Schizosaccharomyces pombe: one gene and its partners. The gene in region 1 interacts genetically with each later gene. Each region holds a gene or a part of one and is shown in the gene's direction. Other genes may lie near its edges.

Evidence for each region.
Region 2: mutations in hrq1 (region 1) and rtt109 together harm fitness more than expected from each alone (negative genetic interaction), as found in Schizosaccharomyces pombe (2 studies listed by BioGRID).
Region 3: mutations in hrq1 (region 1) and rad13 together harm fitness more than expected from each alone (negative genetic interaction), as found in Schizosaccharomyces pombe (2 studies listed by BioGRID).
Region 4: mutations in hrq1 (region 1) and ubc13 impair growth when combined (synthetic growth defect), as found in Schizosaccharomyces pombe (4 studies listed by BioGRID, with this or other methods).

What each region holds. Positions count from the first base shown.
Region 1 is NC_003424.3:4,113,143-4,119,105, reverse strand, and holds hrq1 (RecQ type DNA helicase Hrq1), read left to right. Parts: upstream 1-1,891; 5' UTR 1,892-1,924; coding exon 1,925-4,997; exon of another isoform or gene 4,998-5,172; coding exon 5,173-5,291; 3' UTR 5,292-5,433; downstream 5,434-5,963. Other genes in the region: mgs1 (DNA replication ATPase), read left to right, coding at 133-724, 768-798, 844-861, 906-1,680, 1,721-1,819; mrp51 (mitochondrial 37S ribosomal protein bS1m), read left to right, coding at 5,510-5,963. UniProt on the Schizosaccharomyces pombe protein: Helicase with 3'-5' helicase activity involved in genome stability. Functions in the nucleotide excision repair (NER) pathway and plays a critical role in DNA interstrand cross-link repair.
Region 2 is NC_003423.3:4,212,986-4,216,564, reverse strand, and holds rtt109 (histone lysine acetyltransferase Rtt109), read left to right. Parts: upstream 1-1,803; 5' UTR 1,804-1,815; coding exon 1,816-2,925; 3' UTR 2,926-3,079; downstream 3,080-3,579. Other genes in the region: rbk1 (ribokinase), read left to right, coding at 1-418; 19S proteasome regulatory subunit Rpn12, read right to left, coding at 696-1,357, 1,409-1,559; crb2 (DNA repair protein), read right to left, coding at 3,142-3,579. UniProt on the Schizosaccharomyces pombe protein: Histone chaperone-dependent acetylase that modifies 'Lys-56' of histone H3 (H3K56ac), which occurs predominantly in newly synthesized H3 molecule during G1, S-phase and G2/M of cell cycle.
Region 3 is NC_003423.3:2,672,479-2,678,171, reverse strand, and holds rad13 (DNA repair nuclease Rad13), read left to right. Parts: upstream 1-1,602; 5' UTR 1,603-1,814; coding exon 1,815-5,153; 3' UTR 5,154-5,182; downstream 5,183-5,693. Other genes in the region: SPOM_SPBC3E7.09 (Sad1-UNC-like protein), read right to left, coding at 1-1,555; SPOM_SPBC3E7.07C (uncharacterized protein), read left to right, coding at 5,428-5,475, 5,521-5,532, 5,594-5,621, 5,665-5,693. UniProt on the Schizosaccharomyces pombe protein: Single-stranded DNA endonuclease involved in excision repair of DNA damaged with UV light, bulky adducts, or cross-linking agents. Essential for the incision step of excision-repair.
Region 4 is NC_003424.3:5,286,680-5,289,769, reverse strand, and holds ubc13 (ubiquitin-conjugating enzyme Ubc13), read left to right. Parts: upstream 1-1,675; 5' UTR 1,676-1,688; coding exon 1,689-1,715; intron 1,716-1,757; coding exon 1,758-1,919; intron 1,920-2,071; coding exon 2,072-2,156; intron 2,157-2,213; coding exon 2,214-2,386; 3' UTR 2,387-2,590; downstream 2,591-3,090. Other genes in the region: SEA complex subunit Sea3, read right to left, coding at 1-1,378; csm1 (microtubule-site clamp monopolin complex subunit Csm1/Pcs1), read right to left, coding at 2,715-2,893, 2,949-3,090. UniProt on the Schizosaccharomyces pombe protein: Has a role in the DNA error-free postreplication repair (PRR) pathway. The ubc13/spm2 heterodimer catalyzes the synthesis of non-canonical poly-ubiquitin chains that are linked through 'Lys-63'.

The sequences.
Region 1 (5,963 bases):
CAAAATTCCTTAAACGTTACTTTTTTTTGTAAACTTTCTTGCCAAAGGTCGCTCATTTGTATGTGTTATTGTTTCATTCCAGATTTATCTGTTTACCTTTCGTACCACATACTTTTATCTATGTAAATCAGAATGTCAGGACCAGATCATGTTCAATGTCCTGTTTGCGCGAAAACAGTTACGATGAATGACATTAATCCACACCTTGATTCACATTATTCGGACTCATCAGGCCCTTCGAAACCTGTTTCACCCTTTTTTAAAAAGGAACGCTATAAACATCATTTAGAAACAAATGTCTCATCTCACCAGAGCGCTACAAAATTTATAGAGCCTGAACCCAGCCCTACAAAGAAAACTAAACTTACAAGACGGGATACACGACCACTGGCGGAACGAGCAAGACCCAAATCACTAGATGAATATGTTGGTCAGGAAGAGCTGGTTGGTGAGCGAGGCATCATTCGTAATCTGATTGAACAAGATAGGTGCAATTCCATGATTTTATGGGGTAGTGCTGGAACTGGAAAGACTACGCTTGCTAGACTAATTGCCGTTACAACAAAATCAAGGTTCATAGAAATTTCTGCGACTTCGACGACTGTTGCTGATTGTCGTAAAATCTTTGAAGACTCACAAAATTATCTCACCTTGACAGGAAGAAAGACTATTATTTTCTTGGACGAAGTACATCGTTTCAACCGTGCGCAACAGGATATATTTTGTAAGTTTGATATTTTTTTATCTCTTCAATTAACCATGACTAGTGCCAATGGTTGAAAAGGGTCTAGTTACTCTGTAAGTGATGCATTCTAATATCACAAATGCTAACCTTTGAATTAGGATCGGCGCAACAACTGAGTATGTTTAAACACTAATGTTTTCCACCATGATTAACATTGTAGAAATCCTTCTTTCCGACTAAATTCTGCTCTCATTAGCAGATGCCCCGTTTTTGTGCTTAAGAAACTAACGCGTGATAATGTTAAGAAAATATTAAACCATGCTTGCTTACTGGAAAGTGAGCGACTAGGATCTTCTATGCCCAACGTTGAAACATCTATTATTGATTACATATCTGCTATTACAGACGGAGATGCTAGAATGGCCTTAAATGCTTTAGAAATGTCTATTGGAATGCTAAGACAAGGACCCCTGTCACTCGAAGATATTAAGGACAAGCTAGTCAGATCTTCTGCACTTTACGACAGAGTAGGTGATGTTCATTATGATACAATTTCTGCCTTCCATAAATCAGTAAGGGGTTCTGATGTCGATGCAACTTTATACTATCTGGGTAGAATGCTCGAGTCTGGAGAAGATCCACTGTATGTGGCACGAAGAATGGTTAGAATAGCAAGCGAAGACATTGGAATAGCAGATAATTCTATGCTACCTCTAGCATCCAGTACATTTACTGCTGTTCAACAAGTTGGCATGCCTGAAGCCGATGTAATTCTAGCTCATTGCGCCGTCGCCTTAGCATTAGCTCCAAAATCAGTTGACGTTTACAGATCATATAATGCTGTAAAAAGTTTTTTGTCTTCTCATCCCGATGCTGGCAGGGCTGAAATTCCCATGCATATTCGAAATGCTCCTACAAATTTGATGAAGCAATTAGGATACCATAAAGGATATAAATACAATCCGGATTATAAAGACGGATTAGTAATGCAAGAGGTAATAAAAAATATTCTTTTCAATTTGTTAACCTACTCAGTATTTACCCGATTCTATCAAGGGAACAAAGTTTTATAAGCTACCTATAGAGTTAAAAGAGGATGAAGAAATTAAAAATTTAAAAACTGATACTAAATAATTATATAAGTGATCCTTCACTAATTGTTCATTTACCACGTTATAATGGAAATCATTGTATTTCAATACCTTTGCACTTAGCCCATACTTTAATGGTGAAGGGGTAATGTCTCAAACTCCTATTAAAAAGGAAGAATCTAATGATCAGGATGATAAATTTGAATTTAAAAAATATATTAATGAAGGGAAGCTCCCTCTGAAAGCAGATAATCCCAAAAAAAAACCACAACTTGGAACTATTCAAGCTAATCAGCCTATTCCATCCATATTTGACAATCTTTTTAATTTATTCAAGGTAATTAATACTACATACACTTTTCTTTATTTGAGAAATTCTCTTACAATCACTTTTCCCCTTCTCAATTCGAGTGTTAAGCAAAGTTTGAAAAAGGAGTTGACAATCGGCGATTTATCTCAGCTAAGAGAAATATGTCCTCAAATAATTGAATTAAATTATAAATCACTTGCTAGCCTTGCATTAGAAATCAATAAAAATGTTTACACTGATCTAAACCCTGAGTTGTACACTGGTTCAACGGTCTCACAGAGTTCTGAATATGTTTTGGTTATTGAGCTTTTAGAAACGCAAGAGAGAAGTTCCAAACGAAGGAGACGTGAAGGCCCAACAATGAAGGCTAATATCCAGAGGCAAAAGCTGGATTTTAATAATTTGAAGAAAGCCATAGAGTTACGAAACCAAAAGTTCCTTCAAGGGATTAAAGAATATATAAAAAAATGTCAATTGACAGAACTTGACCCAACGCAACAGCTATTAACTCAATCCCGGAAAAACCAGCCGGTTCCTCCTGATTCACCGAGTATTCCTAATGATTCAATAGAAAACTGCAATTTAAATACTAAAGCGTGCTCAATTGAAGAACTTTTAAATGAAATAGCTTCTGAATCTTCTTACGAAGGGCAAATAGTCCAAGAAGCTTTACATACTTATCCTGCTGTTGAAGCACAATATGGAGCGTTGTCTCGACCTTTGTCTCAAGAGCTTATAAATGCTCTTTATACATCTAGAAACATCGAAAAGACATACAAACATCAGGCAGACGCTATCAACCACCTTTGGAACGGATTTCATGTTATAGTGTCAACTTCTACATCTAGTGGAAAGTCTTTGATTTACCAAATTCCAATTTTACAAAGTTTGTTAGAAGATAATCAATCTACGGCATTTTTTGTATTCCCTACTAAATCTTTAGCCCAAGATCAGAAGAAGTCGTTAATCGATATACTTAGCTATATGCCGACGCTTAAGAATATTCGAGTGGACACCTTCGATGGGGATACACCACTTGAGTCTAGAGAAAGTATTATTAGATCTGCAAATATAATCTTTACGAATCCGGATATGTTACATCAAACGATTCTTCCCAATGCTAATCGTTGGTATTATTTCTTTAAAAACCTGAAACTTTTCGTCCTGGATGAAGCTCATGTGTACAATGGAATATTTGGCGTTCACGTTGCTTTTGTTCTAAGAAGGATGCGCCGTATTGCTGAGTACTTTGGAAATAGTCAATATCGATTTGTATCATGCTCGGCTACTATTGAGGATCCTTTACAACATATGAAAAAAATTTTTGGAGTAGATAATATAAAACTAATTAACTATACTTCTTCTCCTTCTGGTTCAAAAAAATTTGTAATGTGGAATCCACCTTATGTCGACCCCAAGCATCCTGATGATGGAAAGAAAAGCGCAATCTCTGAAGCCTCGAAACTGCTTATTAAATTTGCCGAAAAGCGGGTGCGTACAATTGTTTTCTGTCGTGTTCGAAAAACCTGTGAGTCGTTAATGAGACTAGTGAGGCAGGAATTAAAAACCAAACAAAAAGGAGATCTTTTATCTAAGATTCAATCGTATAGGGCTGGGTATACGGTTCAGGAACGCAGGAAGATAGAGAGTGAAATGTTTAACGGGAAATTATATGGGATTATTGCGACGAATGCTTTAGAGCTAGGTATTGATATAGGATCACTGGATGCCGTTATAACCATAGGATTTCCATATTCTTTGTCTAACTTGCGCCAGCAATTTGGTCGTGCTGGTAGAAGGAATAAGTCTTCCTTAGCAGTATATATAGTTGAGACATTTCCCGTTGATCAGTTTTATTTAAAGCATCCTATTTTGATTCACACTCAACCAAATGCTGAACTCACTTTAGACTTGACAAATGAGGTATTACTAGCGAGTCATCTTCAGTGTGCTGCATATGAGCTTCCCATTAACATAAGGAGCGACGAAAAGTTTTTTGGAAATCAAATTCAAGACATTTGCGAAGCAAATTTAGAAATGGTTGAAGAGAGTTATCGGCCTCATCCAAAATATCTTCCTTTTCCTGCCTCGCAGGTACGGATACGAAGCGTTAGTGAAGACATGTTTACTCTCGTCGATGTCACAAATGATAAGAATGTTATTCTAGAACTCCTCGAACCTTTTCGTGTTGCATTAACTGCTTACGAAGGTGCAGTTTATGTTTATCAAGGAAAAACGTTTATCATTAGGCTCCTAAATATTAACAAGAGAATTATTACTGCTCATCAAGTTGATGTTGAATGGTCAACATTGCAAAGAGATTTCACAGATGTTGATCCTGTTCGCAGCTTAATGAAGAAGACTATGCATGGAAGTACAAACATTTATTTTGGGGCTGTTAAAGCAACATTACATGTATTTGGGTATTTCAAAGTTAACAAGCAGAAAGATATTCTGGACGTGGTAGATATTACCGATCATCCTGTTGAAATTGATAGTCGAGGTTTCTGGATAGATGTACCTTGGCATATCATTGAGGTTTTGTCATTAAAAAAAATAAATGGAGCCGCTAGTATACATGCTGCCCAACATGCTTTACTTTCGTTGATGCCAATTTTTATTAGTAACAGCGGTAACGATATTCGAACAGAATGTAAAGCGGGTGAAAAGGAGTATAAAGAGGCTAAAAGCGAGCGAAGACGTCCTTCCCGACTCATTTTCTATGATAATTGTGGTGATTCATCTGGTGCTGGTTTATGCAACAAGGCATATGAACATACTGATGAATTAATTACAATGGCCATTGAGCGAATTGAGAGTTGCGATTGCAAAGTTCGTGAAGGTTGTCCCGGATGTATTACGAGTTCAAAATTTGAAGGCGGAGTTTGCTCTGGAGAAGTACTTGACAAGGGTAAGTATAGATATACTTTGCATTTTTTGTTGGACGGTGAAGCAATCCCGTATAGATTGGTCGCTTAGTAGTTTGTAAGATAACACTCTCATTTTTTTTATGATCAAATGAAAAGGGATTGCTTGCAAACTTAAATAGATTATTCACATTACTTCTACTAACATATTTCTTTCAGTTGGCGCTTTAATCTTATTGAAAATGCTACTGTGTCAACATGTAAATTTAGATATATATGCTGATGGACCAGAGATTGATTCATATCACGCTTTGCGAACTTTAATACCTTCTTGTTAATAATTGAATTTATTTTTTTTATTTTGTTTATATTAGACTAAATTATTAGTTAGTACTACTAATATTGCGTTGTGCTTTTTGATTTTACATTTAAACCCTACCCTAACTTACCGGAGTCAATGTTAGATACTGACAGCGCTCAGTGCTTACTACCGTACAGCCACCGTTCTCCTCATAGAAGCCAAGTCCCAATATAAATCTTGAATTTTTGTAAAAATATGAGTTTTGCACAAATTCTCCGTGGCTCGAGGGCAATGGCTTCTCCAAAATGTCTTCCAGAATCCAATTATTCAACATCACACCTTCGGTTTCCTCGATTGCAATCCATAACTTCAAAAAAAAATAGTAGAGCTCGTGGTGATTGGGGACTGAAAAGGACTCTTCCAAAAATAAAGACAAGATACATATGTGTGCGGCAGCAAGATTCCTTATACAAGCAAGCAGATTTTCAATCAAGCGCTAAATTTGTTCGTCTAGTTCGCAATTGGTTTGATGCTGGATTTGTACGAGATCCTTCTGAAGTTGCTTTGTTGCAAGAATTATTGAAAGAAACGGGGTTGAAAGATACGCGTGACATAAATAAGGTATTTTCTCCTTCTAAACAATCCGACGAAAATGATAACTTTCGCCGTTACGGAGTTTCTGGCGGTATTCAATACAGTAATGTTCCTT
Region 2 (3,579 bases), on another chromosome or scaffold:
GATATCTTATTGTGCCTATCTTGTACCTAACGAACATGAAGCTGCCATTCTCTTAAATCAAGCAGACTCACCTGCTACGTTGGAAAATGTGGATGCATATGCTTCTAAGTTACTAAGCTTCGGTGTCCGTAAAGCCGTAATTATAACCCTTGGTAGCCAAGGTGCTTACTATAAGTCTGCGAACGGAGAATCTGCTTTGGTCTCAGCATGCAAAGTGAAAGCCGTTGACACGACTGCCGCTGGCGATACCTTCATTGGTGCCTTTTCTAATTCAATTGCACACGGACAGCCACTTAAGGACTCACTGGAATTTGCTGCTAAATGTAGTGCTATTACTGTACAGAGAAAGGGAGCTGCAAGTTCTATTCCTTCCTTACTTGAAGTCGATGGTTCCTTTAACCTAAAAAAGAATACATAGCCTCTGGCTTTTACGCGTTACCTTACAAAGGGAAGAAAAAAGCATAATTCGATTTTAGATTTCTACACATTCTTATCTCATATAACTTCATCAACTCTTTTTCAGTATTGAACATAAACTTGCATGTTGCTCAAGTTAATGAGAACAAAAGGTATCTCTTACGAATAATAAAGGTTATAGCATAAAATATGATTCGTTTGTTAATAAGAGGGAAGTGAAATAAACGCCTTGACTTTTGTAGAAAGAGTAATTACCATCAAACAAGATGTTTGATTCATTAAACAATCTGCTCTAATTCTGAGGTGTAACTCAGTAATTGACGAATACTCGAAATTGTGTGCTTGCTAGCAGTGGGAGGAAGCTCCAATTCGTCTTCCTCATCAATAAGCATACCATCCTCCGTCTCCAAAGCATTGGCCTCTTTGGGAAAGTATATTACACCGTCTCTAATATCCCAGCCTCGTTCTTCAGCAAGTTTTTCGGTTTCCTTAGTGTTTTCCAGGTACAGCAAACTTGTTGCATTAGATAAGGGGATTTCTGAATACACTTTCTCGGCACAAGTCGCAATTTCGTTTCGAACCATACTCATAACAATTTTCATAAAATAACTAAACTCAGGAAAGTTACAGGATCGAATCATGGATGCTACCTTATCAAATGCACCTTCCATTACATTTTGTTCTAGAGAAATAACCCATTCTACGTACGGATCTCTTTCAAATAACGATTTGTCAGGAACGGATTCCAAGGCTGTGTGAAATTCAGCGATACGATTTTCAGATAATAGATACAACAAATTTAATCCTGTAACAAGTCCCATCCTTGATGAAGGGACAAGGGAATCATGATAAAAAGGAATTACTTGGCTAGCATACCTTGCAAACGATTCAATATCACAAGTTTGAATCGAGACAAGTACACCGTATTCAAATACATTTCCTATAAGGAAGATTAGAGGTCTGTTCTTAGATAACTATACAAATAACATACTGGCAAAACTAGCTTTCTCTTTATCGCTAGTAGGGACGAAGAGGTTCTGCTTAGCAAGTTCGACTTTCAGTTTCAGAAGTTCCTTTTTACAAGCATTCCAATCCTTTCTGTCATAAAGATCTGCTAAATGGTTCAAGTCTAATGTACTCATATTGATGTGTATTGAGAGTGTAATAAGTTGGAACTTTTAAGAGAGCTGTAGAAACAACACCTCTTGCCATGCATCTCAGAATAGTCATCAATAACGAACACACTATAAAGGTTTACCAGCAAAAATTAAAGCTCCTTACGGATTTTGACGTTGTTTTATTAGATTCATTATATCACTTAAGCAATTGTAACATAGTATTCACTCACAATAATTGCTGTAGTTGCGTTAACTCTCTTTATCCTTTAAACTAAAGAATATGCCGGATCTTTGGTCAGAAAGTATATTAGAAGGCAGAAAATTGAGTATTTATCATCTTAAAAGTACTTTAGAGAAATGTCCATTTCTATTTGGTCAAAGTAAGAAGTCTAAGGATTTTCAATTTGGGAGTCATCTTTTTTTGGTAGAGGAACAAAATGTATTTATTTTTGGCATGGAATGCATAGTTTACGAAAAAAACAAAGAGTTTATAGTATTTGTATCTAAAGCAGATTCTACCGGATTCGGCAGCAAAGGGGTATCTTGTAACTCTCTTGCTTTTTGCTGCTTAGTGACACTTATTGACGGTCTTAGAAAACAAGGAGCCGAAAATGTAACTTTGACTCTGTTTGCGATTGCTCAAGGTCAATATTTATTTCCTGAGTCGGTGGACAATGGACAAAAGCATGTGCTGAATGATTCTGGTTTGTTACGCTGGTGGGTAAATTGTTTGGAAAAACTCAGGAAGTATTATACTGACAGTGAAGCACCAAACGATTCCGAAAAGCAAAAGAATTCCACATTACTTCCTAAGGCTTATTTATTTGTTCCTGGACTTGAAAATATTCGTTCGTACTTACCCAATCGTCATTGGATTGAAAGCAACGCTATAACAACTGGAAAAGCAGTTGAAGAATTACCAAGATTTCCAGATGACCCAAAATGTAGGTATTTATGCGAGCTTCAAGATGAGAAAAGTGACATGTCCGTTGAAGAGTTTTGGGATACGCTGACTTATAGACAAGAGTGCTCCTCAGGTAAACTAGTTGGCTTTTTCACATTACAGCTACAGTTCTATCAAACAAGAGAATTTATTGCTAAAGATAATTTTGGTGATTCTGGTGTAATGATTCCAGCTAAATTATACAGAGTCACTTACGATACTTTATTGAAGCATCCATTTGGCTCTTTATCTGATGCACAGTCGTCAACAGAAAAGTTTCTTAGTAACACACTTTCCGCTGTACAAAATTTAAAGGATTTTCATTATAAGCGCTACAAGCTAGATATATGTGGGTTGGCAAAACGTGATGATCGTAAAAATCACAACCATTCGAAACCTGCTACGCAAGCCAATATTCTACAGCCACGAAAAAAAGTGAAAAAATAAAGGACTTTAAGTTCGTTGAAAATTTTTAATAATCCCAATCAATCCTCTCATGTAGATTTTTAGAGAAAGTTTTTGTTTAATATTGAAATTGACACTTTTCGTCAGTATTGCAAATAAATTAATAAACAACAAATATCTAAAATTAATAAAAAGCTAAATTAATGAGAGTGAAACTCAGGGGGAGTTAGTAAAAATAACTATATCAAAAAACCAAAACTAAGTAGAAATATCAGACTGACTAATAAGACATTCGACTATCCATTCAGGATCAACGACCGGACAATTAGTTTCATCTACAATGTTTCCATCCATCGTAAGTATCAAATCACACTCCAAATGTGCAACATTTGGTCTAATTTCAACGTCAGCACCCAATGCCAACGCGTGATAGACATGAGCCAAAGCTTTTTGACCCTGCTCTGTATTTTCAATCTTTTTCTGCCAAGATTTTGCTTCAGGTATAATAAATAAAATCTTTTTTCCAAATAAAGGACCCTTCCTTGCCAAAAGTCTGTCATATAAAGAATCAGTGGTATCAAAAGGTTCTATCCGTTGGGAAAGTGTACAATCTAGACGGTGTGAATAGCCAGATGCCAATAAATAAGGAGAAAAATCAACAACTCTGTTCATTTTTAAGCACTGTTTAATAAATTG
Region 3 (5,693 bases), on another chromosome or scaffold:
CGACACTTTTCGACAATTTCGAAATTTCTAATTGAAGGGTCGAGTTCAATTCATGTAATAGCTGCGTAAAATTCATGTTTTTGGCATTGTGCTTACCATAATTTGTTAATATTTTTTCTACAATTTCATCAAATGCCTTCTTCCGTTCTTCTAAGGTAGAAAGACGCTTATTTATGTTTTTGTAAATGCTTTCCTGATTAGAAGGAAAGGTAGATATTTGAGCGGTACTGTAAGAAGATGAAGAAGATGGAGAAATATCGTTAAAAGAGCGAGTTGATGTTGCAGGATATGATTCACTTTTTCCTGTTTCATTTCCTATAACAACAGTGCTCAAAGACTTAGATATCACAGTAGAAGAAAGTAAGGTGTCTGTACTATTCAACTCGACTGATGGATTCTTTCTCACTGGTTTGCTTTGAACATCGGTATCTTCTTCGTCCACAAAAATAGGACTTTCTTGAGGCTTCCGGATTTCATCTGCTTTAATAGCGCTTCCGTCGTTCACTTTTTGTTCTAAGAAGTCTTCATTTGCTTCTTCAAATTCTTCTATCATAGTTTTTCCATAAACCCTAAGTAGGCTTACAGGACAATAAAATTCTGACCCATAATGAGTTAAAAACTCTATTTTAAGATACTTCGCCCAAATAAGAGGGTTCTCAATATGAAAAGATTGAAGAGTCCTTAGGTTTAAGGCCGTAAATGTACCCAATTCCATCCAAGAAGACTCGTATTTTGGATATTTACCGCTTACACTGACCTTGAAATCACGAAATATACTTGAAAAAAATTCGAAGTTGGCAATTTGAACTGTATCGACATAAATATCCTCACAAAGTTCAATTACCACGAACTTGTTTTCAGCGGAACATTTGTTCAGCATATATTTGTCTTTGTTTTCGGTCAGAATCGAAGAAGATCCGACTGCTTCAGGATTTGTTTTAATGACAGCAGCAGCGCAGTCAGTTGAAGCAAAGTTGAATCTTTTTTCTTCTGAGAATGCAACAGTCTTTTCATCTATATTTGAATCAATTGTAGCTGCTGCTGAAGTAGAGGAACCATCCTCAGAAATTGGTAGAGTAACCGAAGAACTAGTAATAATATTAGTATCAATAACTTCCGTTACAGAATAGTTTTGCTCTAGCTTCTTTGAGGATGAAATTGTAGACGTCTCGTTCACCAATGGTGGGCTAATTGAATCTATAAATTCGCTAGTACTTGTTCCATTGGAATATTCATATTTTGACAAAAAATTAGAAGAAATGGTATCACTTCCATTCAAACTCGTTTTTGTGTGAAACGAAGGTTCCTGGTACTTATTTGTGGGAGTGAAATCCCATGTTGTAGGGTTGCTAGCTTCTTTTTCTTCAGATTTGGTAGCAATCACAGAAAGGTACGCATCACATACCAAATTTTCGTTATGCGTATCTGGTGACTTCAAACACAATGCCGGATATTTACACCAATGACTCGTTTGTGGAGAGCAGCAGCATAACCGAAATATAATAAAATAAATTAAAAAGGCATTTCCAAATGCAGACAATCTTCTTTTGACCATATGATTTAGGCAGCCCTATCAGTTTAATGTGGTAATTGGCTCAAGTCAAGTGCCACACACTAAAGTGTTAGCATCAATCATCGCACATGCCCTTGTTTTATCGCTTTGTTGGTAAAACATGTCTTTTATAACGATTTTAATTAAAAAAGAAGAAAAAGGGTAAAGAAAAAGGCTTGCTTTAATCACATTTCTTCGTATAATAATCAAAAATAAAGTCGTCTACAACGAAACTTCTTGACATCGCATATAATATTTTGCAATGGGGGTTTCAGGTCTTTGGGATATTTTAGAACCGGTAAAAAGGCCTGTCAAGCTAGAAACACTTGTTAACAAACGGTTGGCAATTGACGCTTCAATTTGGATTTATCAATTCTTAAAGGCCGTACGTGACAAAGAAGGAAACCAGCTGAAAAGCAGTCATGTTGTAGGATTTTTTAGAAGGATATGCAAACTATTATTTTTTGGGATTAAACCTGTATTTGTTTTTGATGGAGGAGCGCCGTCATTGAAACGCCAAACTATCCAAAAAAGACAAGCCAGAAGACTCGACAGGGAGGAAAATGCCACGGTCACGGCCAATAAACTTCTGGCTTTGCAAATGAGGCATCAGGCAATGCTTTTAGAGGAAAATAATAAAAAAGCTACTGCATTGGCAAATGCCTCGGTTCAAAATGAGAGACAAATGCCTTCATCTATGACATTGGATAATTCAGAAATTAAGCCAGTACTTAATCAAAGAAAAAATTATTTGAAGCCTGATCCATACCAACTACCTGAAATGGACGTTTCGTTTGATAAGTTAGGGTCGAGTTACGACCCTCGAATTATGTCCCAGGATGAGCTTACACAATATGTCTCTAGTTTTACTAAAATTGAAGATATAAATTTATTTGATTTTTCAAATATTGATTTTGACTCTGAATTATTTCAATCATTACCCGATACGGATAAATATAGTATTTTAAGTGCAGCAAGATTACGCTCTCGTTTACGAATGGGTTTAAGCTCTGAACAACTTTCCGAGATGTTTCCTAATAGAATGGATTTCTCTCGTTTTCAAATTGAGAGACTGAAGGAACGTAACGATTTAACTCAGAGATTAATGGACTTTACTGGAATGAATGAGTTTGGACCCTCTAGAGTAGTAAGTGAAAAAAACCGAGAATATATTTTAGTAAAAAACGAAGGTGCTGAAGGTGGATGGGCTCTCGGTGTTATCTCAGGATCTACAAACAATGAACCTATTATTATTGATGATGAGGCTACAAAACTTAGCAGCAATCTTATAGACGAAGACGAGGATGAGGCATTCTACGATGTGCCTTTACCTAGCCGATCTCATAGCATGAACCCTAGAGAATTGGTAGCCGCTAAATTAAAGGAAATAAAAGAAAATTCATTTTCGGAAAATCAGCAATCAGATGAAGCAGATTATAATGTTACTGATGATTTAATACTTCAATTAGCAACCCAGCAATCTCTAGAGGAAAACAAAAAATCAAAAGAGCTGTTTAGTCTTTCGGCTTCTGAGTTTGATAAGTTGAATAGCGAGAAAAAGACGTTTGAAATTTTGTCGACCGATATTCCTGCAGAGGATTCAATGAATTCACTTCTTAACGACGAGGAAAATTTGAAACTTGAACATGTTGGAGATGTTTCCAATGATTCATTAGCATTCGCGGAAAAAAAGCATCCTGAAAATGGGACTTCAATTTTTATGGATGCCCTTCCATCTGCGAGTAGAGAGAAAAAAACCAATGATTTAATTGATCCTTTACCTTTTCAGCCTATGGATTGGGGAAAGTCTATTTTTTTCGAGAAATTAAAGAAACCAACTGAAACATTTATGGATTCTAAAACTGATATACCAAGTGAGGCACCGGATAATTCTAAACTTGTGGAAGATACAAATTTACATACTATTAATGCAACAGTTAATATTGAATCCGATTTAGACGCTGCTAAACCTGGAATTGAAAATCCAATTATTTCACCTCTTCTTCCGGTAAAAGATGATGAAAAAGATTTAGACTTACGTGAACTCAATCCTTTGGAACCCTTTGAGAATATGAAAGAACAAGCTGATGATGGCACAGTTACCAACCCATTAAATGTTTCTAGTGATAAGGCCATGTCAGTGTATTTATTGAGCTCCGAAAATGCTAAGGATACTGGGGATATCAAATCCGAATCAATTGACGCTGTTCTTCCTACTTTAGAGACCAGCAGCCCTTCACTTAGCATTCCAACTGACTTTCAAAAAGAAGCCTCTCCAAATAAAGGAGCTGCTGCCTTGAGTTCGAAAGTAGAGCCTGAAGTGGTTGAAAAACTTTTAGATGAGGAAGAAGAGGAAATGATTATCAGGATGGCAGAAGAAGAAAAGGAATATGATCGGTTTGTTTCAGAACTCAATCAACGACATGAAACTGAAGAGTGGAATCAAGAGGCCTTTGAAAAAAGGTTGAAAGAGCTCAAAAATCAAAAAAGGTCTGAAAAACGTGATGCGGATGAGGTCACTCAAGTAATGATTAAAGAATGTCAAGAACTTCTGCGTTTATTTGGCTTACCATATATCGTTGCTCCTCAAGAAGCAGAAGCCCAGTGTTCTAAACTTTTGGAGCTAAAGCTGGTTGATGGGATTGTTACTGATGACTCAGACGTGTTTCTTTTTGGTGGAACTCGGGTATATCGAAATATGTTTAATCAGAACAAATTTGTCGAACTCTATTTAATGGATGATATGAAAAGAGAATTTAATGTGAATCAAATGGATTTAATTAAGTTGGCACATCTTTTGGGAAGTGATTATACTATGGGACTTTCTAGGGTAGGTCCAGTTCTTGCACTGGAGATTTTACATGAATTTCCTGGTGACACTGGACTTTTTGAATTTAAAAAATGGTTTCAACGTTTATCAACTGGACACGCATCAAAAAATGATGTTAATACGCCAGTAAAAAAGAGAATTAACAAGTTGGTTGGAAAAATTATTTTACCATCAGAATTTCCTAATCCGTTAGTTGATGAAGCTTATCTTCATCCGGCCGTGGATGATAGCAAGCAATCGTTTCAATGGGGCATACCCGACCTTGACGAGTTACGCCAGTTTTTGATGGCTACTGTGGGTTGGTCAAAACAACGAACTAATGAAGTTTTACTTCCGGTTATACAAGACATGCATAAAAAGCAATTCGTGGGTACACAGTCCAATTTGACTCAGTTTTTTGAAGGTGGTAATACTAATGTATATGCGCCGAGAGTTGCATACCATTTTAAGAGTAAACGGCTTGAAAATGCTCTTTCATCTTTTAAAAATCAGATTAGCAATCAAAGCCCAATGAGTGAAGAAATTCAGGCAGACGCAGATGCATTTGGTGAATCTAAAGGATCAGATGAACTACAAAGCCGTATTCTTAGAAGGAAGAAAATGATGGCAAGCAAAAATTCCTCTGATTCAGATTCAGACTCTGAAGATAACTTTTTAGCAAGTTTAACTCCGAAGACGAATTCTTCTTCAATTTCTATTGAGAATCTACCTAGAAAAACCAAGCTTAGTACTAGCTTACTAAAAAAACCCAGCAAAAGAAGAAGAAAATAAGTTTAATAAATTATTTATTTATTTGTTTACTTAACTGGTTGTTCCTATAAAAGAAGTTACTGTAATTTTTTGTTGAGTAAATTTTTTTGAGTTTTCCTGCTGTAACTGTGTTTAGACAAAGTAATTGAGCAACATAGCTTATATTTTGTGATTTATTCGTGTTTTGATTATTTACAATTTTTCTTGCTCTTTGTTACCTTACCTAATGTCACTTTCTACTACAACCTACTTAGCAGCAGTAAAGTAAAAACGGAGAAACAGAATATTTTTCGAAATGTTAAGTACAAAAATTGATGCGGAAAATGCGGAAAATGCCGCCGAGGTAAGCCTTGGTTATTATTTATTTAATAATACTTACAGATTTTAGATTGAAATGCAGGTACGTGGTTGTAGAAAGTATTTAGTTTTGGTAAAGCATGTACTGATTTAAAAAATTTTAGTTTGCAGTAAAAGCTGTTGAACAGGCTCGTAAGTTGAGCAAAATATGATGGAATAAAAAATAACAATTTAGAAATATACTGGAGTCTTTTGGAAATGCGC
Region 4 (3,090 bases), 1.2 Mb from region 1:
TCCATACTGGAGAATCAGTGGTAATTAAATGCTCAGGCTCCTCTGTTGACTTTTCATAGTTCCAAAACTTAACTGTTCGATCCATAGCACAAGTTAATAGGCGAGTTTCACATGCTCTATTGAATTCAAGACCATTAATTTTAGTAATATTTTCGGAAGTTTTAATTGTATGAAGTGGGGCGGATCCATAACGATCGTCCCAAATCCTTACTAAACGTCCATGGCTAGAAGCAAGTATGTGGGGATTTTTATAATTCCATTTTACCTGAGTAGCTCCGTTATGCCAATCGTAAAAGGAGTTAACAGGAAATCGAGGACTACGCAAATCCCAACAGTGAACAGAGGAATCAATTGAACAAGTGGCAAGAACATCAGGATTTTGCCGATGCCAGTTCATATCTGTGACGGCGCGGGTGTGTCCATGTAACATAAATTCTATAGCACGATCATTTGGTAGTGCAAGGTTCCATACTATCGTTTTTTGACTTGATGTAGAAACCACCCATTGGTCTCTTGCGGCATGAACATTCCACTGAGTATCAGCAACTTCCCAAGGAGTAGAATGTCTTAGCATTCTTGGTGGATTATAAGGATTATCAAGATCTAAGACTAGTAAACCATAACGTGAAGCTAAAGCTATATCTCTACCACAAGGAGATAAAGACATAGCACCCACTGGTTGATTAACTTCAATTGATAATTGTCTATCAAACGTAGTACTATCAAAAGGGCCGTATTCCACATTGCTGTTAGAATTCGATGGTAACTGCAAGTCTTCATCTTCGGAAGGGATGATGACCGTGGAATCCATATTTCTTCGCAACCGACCAGAAACACCCTGAGAGTTAAAAGATATTCGACGAGATCCATAACTACCATCGTCAAAAGAAGAAGATGATATGGAAGTTAAACCTTGCAACCTTTGTGTCGGTGTTTGAGAATATGCAACAATGGTACTAGACCTTACACTTTCTGAAAAATTTGCAAAGGAGTTAGAAGCTTTTTTAATTAATATCTTAGAATCGTTTAGCTTATTGTCCAACGTTTCTGAGTGATCTTTAGAGATTGTTGACGATGAAGCTAGTTGATCACCGTCTTGTGCAGTGTTTGATTGAGCGCTTAGAGCAGTGGACGATTCATGGATCATTGATTCAAGACTGTCTTTCTCCAATTCAAAGTTGCATAATTCCCCGCTATCATCCATATTATAGTATGAAGATGGGTTTTCAGAATTAAATTGCTTATTGGGGTAATTCAAGGTACGTTCATCTTGAAGAGATTTCAATGAATGTTCATAATCAATAGGCGAAGAATTTTTTACAACCGAATCACTCGGAGGAGACTTTCTTGAAGAATCGTCTCCCTGTAATTCCCTCATCTTTTTCGATATGGGCCAGGTGACTGTAGCAATTTCAGGATTCTGAATCTTTTTTTTTATAAAAAAACAAATTAAATTTTATACAATATTATGAATATTAATAATAATAAACTAAGAAGCCATGGCTACTTGTCAATTGCTAATACTATTCTTAGCTAGAGCCGTGGAGATTTTATTATCACTCACTATTTGTATTATGTTTTACGTCACTCCTTATATAGAATAGTGTATCAATCTCTCCAGTTTCTCCTTAAACCAAGTACTTATTGTGTGTACAGCATGCATTCTAGGAAGTCCAAGTATATGAACAATGGCTTTGCCTAAGCGTATTATTAAGGTTTGCGCTTTCTGTTAGCATTTTTCAACTAATAATTGGTAGGAAATTGAAACCCTTACGAGAGATCCTCCACCCGGAATTGTAGCGGCTCCCACTGAAGATAATCTTCGCTATTTTAAAATTACTATGGAAGGGCCTCAGCAATCAGCTTATGAAGGTGGAAAATTTCACTTAGAGCTGTTTCTTCCTGATGAGTATCCAATGGTAGGTTTTTTTTGAAAACACAGTATTGAGCCTACCATGGTCCTTTTGCTAGCCCTGCTAGTTCAACAAAAATTTGAAGAATGGCATTGTCAGTTTCAAACTGTCTTCAAAAAATTGTATAATTGTGTAATTTGAGTTTTAACAACTATTAGATGCCTCCCAATGTTCGTTTTCTTACTAAAATTTATCATCCAAACGTTGATAAATTAGGTCGCATATGTTTATCTACGTTAAAAAGTATGTTAAACTTCACACGTTTCATCTTATTTTGGTGTACTAACATTAATAAATCAGAGGATTGGAGTCCTGCTTTACAAATTCGAACCGTGCTACTTTCGATACAGGCATTAATGGGTGCTCCCAACCCAGATGACCCTTTAGACAATGATGTTGCAAAGATTTGGAAAGAAAATGAGCCACAGGCAATTGCAAATGCCCGTGAATGGACGAAAAAGTATGCAGTTTGATTACTTATGATAGTCCAATGCTTATGGTTATCACTAGAATAATAATATATTACGATATCAATAGCTTTCTATATACAGTCTTTGATTTGAATTCTACCCATTTCCTTAAGTTTTTTGCATTCAATTTTTTCCTAAGCGGTTAAGGTCTTTTCGAATAAAAGATGTAAAAATTAATAATAGATAATTATGGTAGCAGAATACAAACATCGCAGCTTTTGACGGACGATGAAAAAAGTGATATCTCGACGAGCACAATTAATTTAAGATATAGTGCTATTCATATAACAAGGAAGTATTAAAGTTTAAGCAAAATCCATAGTTATTATTGTTAATCTTGCAAAGCTTTCATTAATCTAGCAGAAAATAATTTTCCTTGTTCTTTCGTAAAGATAATTTCCTCCAACAAATAGTCTGGTAAATGTTTCATAAGCTCCTCATCAGTTTGAACATTCAGACGTGGAGTAAATGTAAAGTTTTGATCATCTAACAAGAGCTGATATTCGAGTGCTATAATAATATCCTGTTAGCTTGAAATTATTTCTAAATCCCTTAAAGCACTTACTCCCTCTCCTTCCAGTGTTTTTACAGTTGAAACGATATCCATCCTCGTCCTCTATACAGTCTGCAACTTCTAATCCGAAAAGCTCCTTTATAAGTATATTAATTTTTGAATAGTTTTTTATTTGCTCTCGAGTTTTCAATAA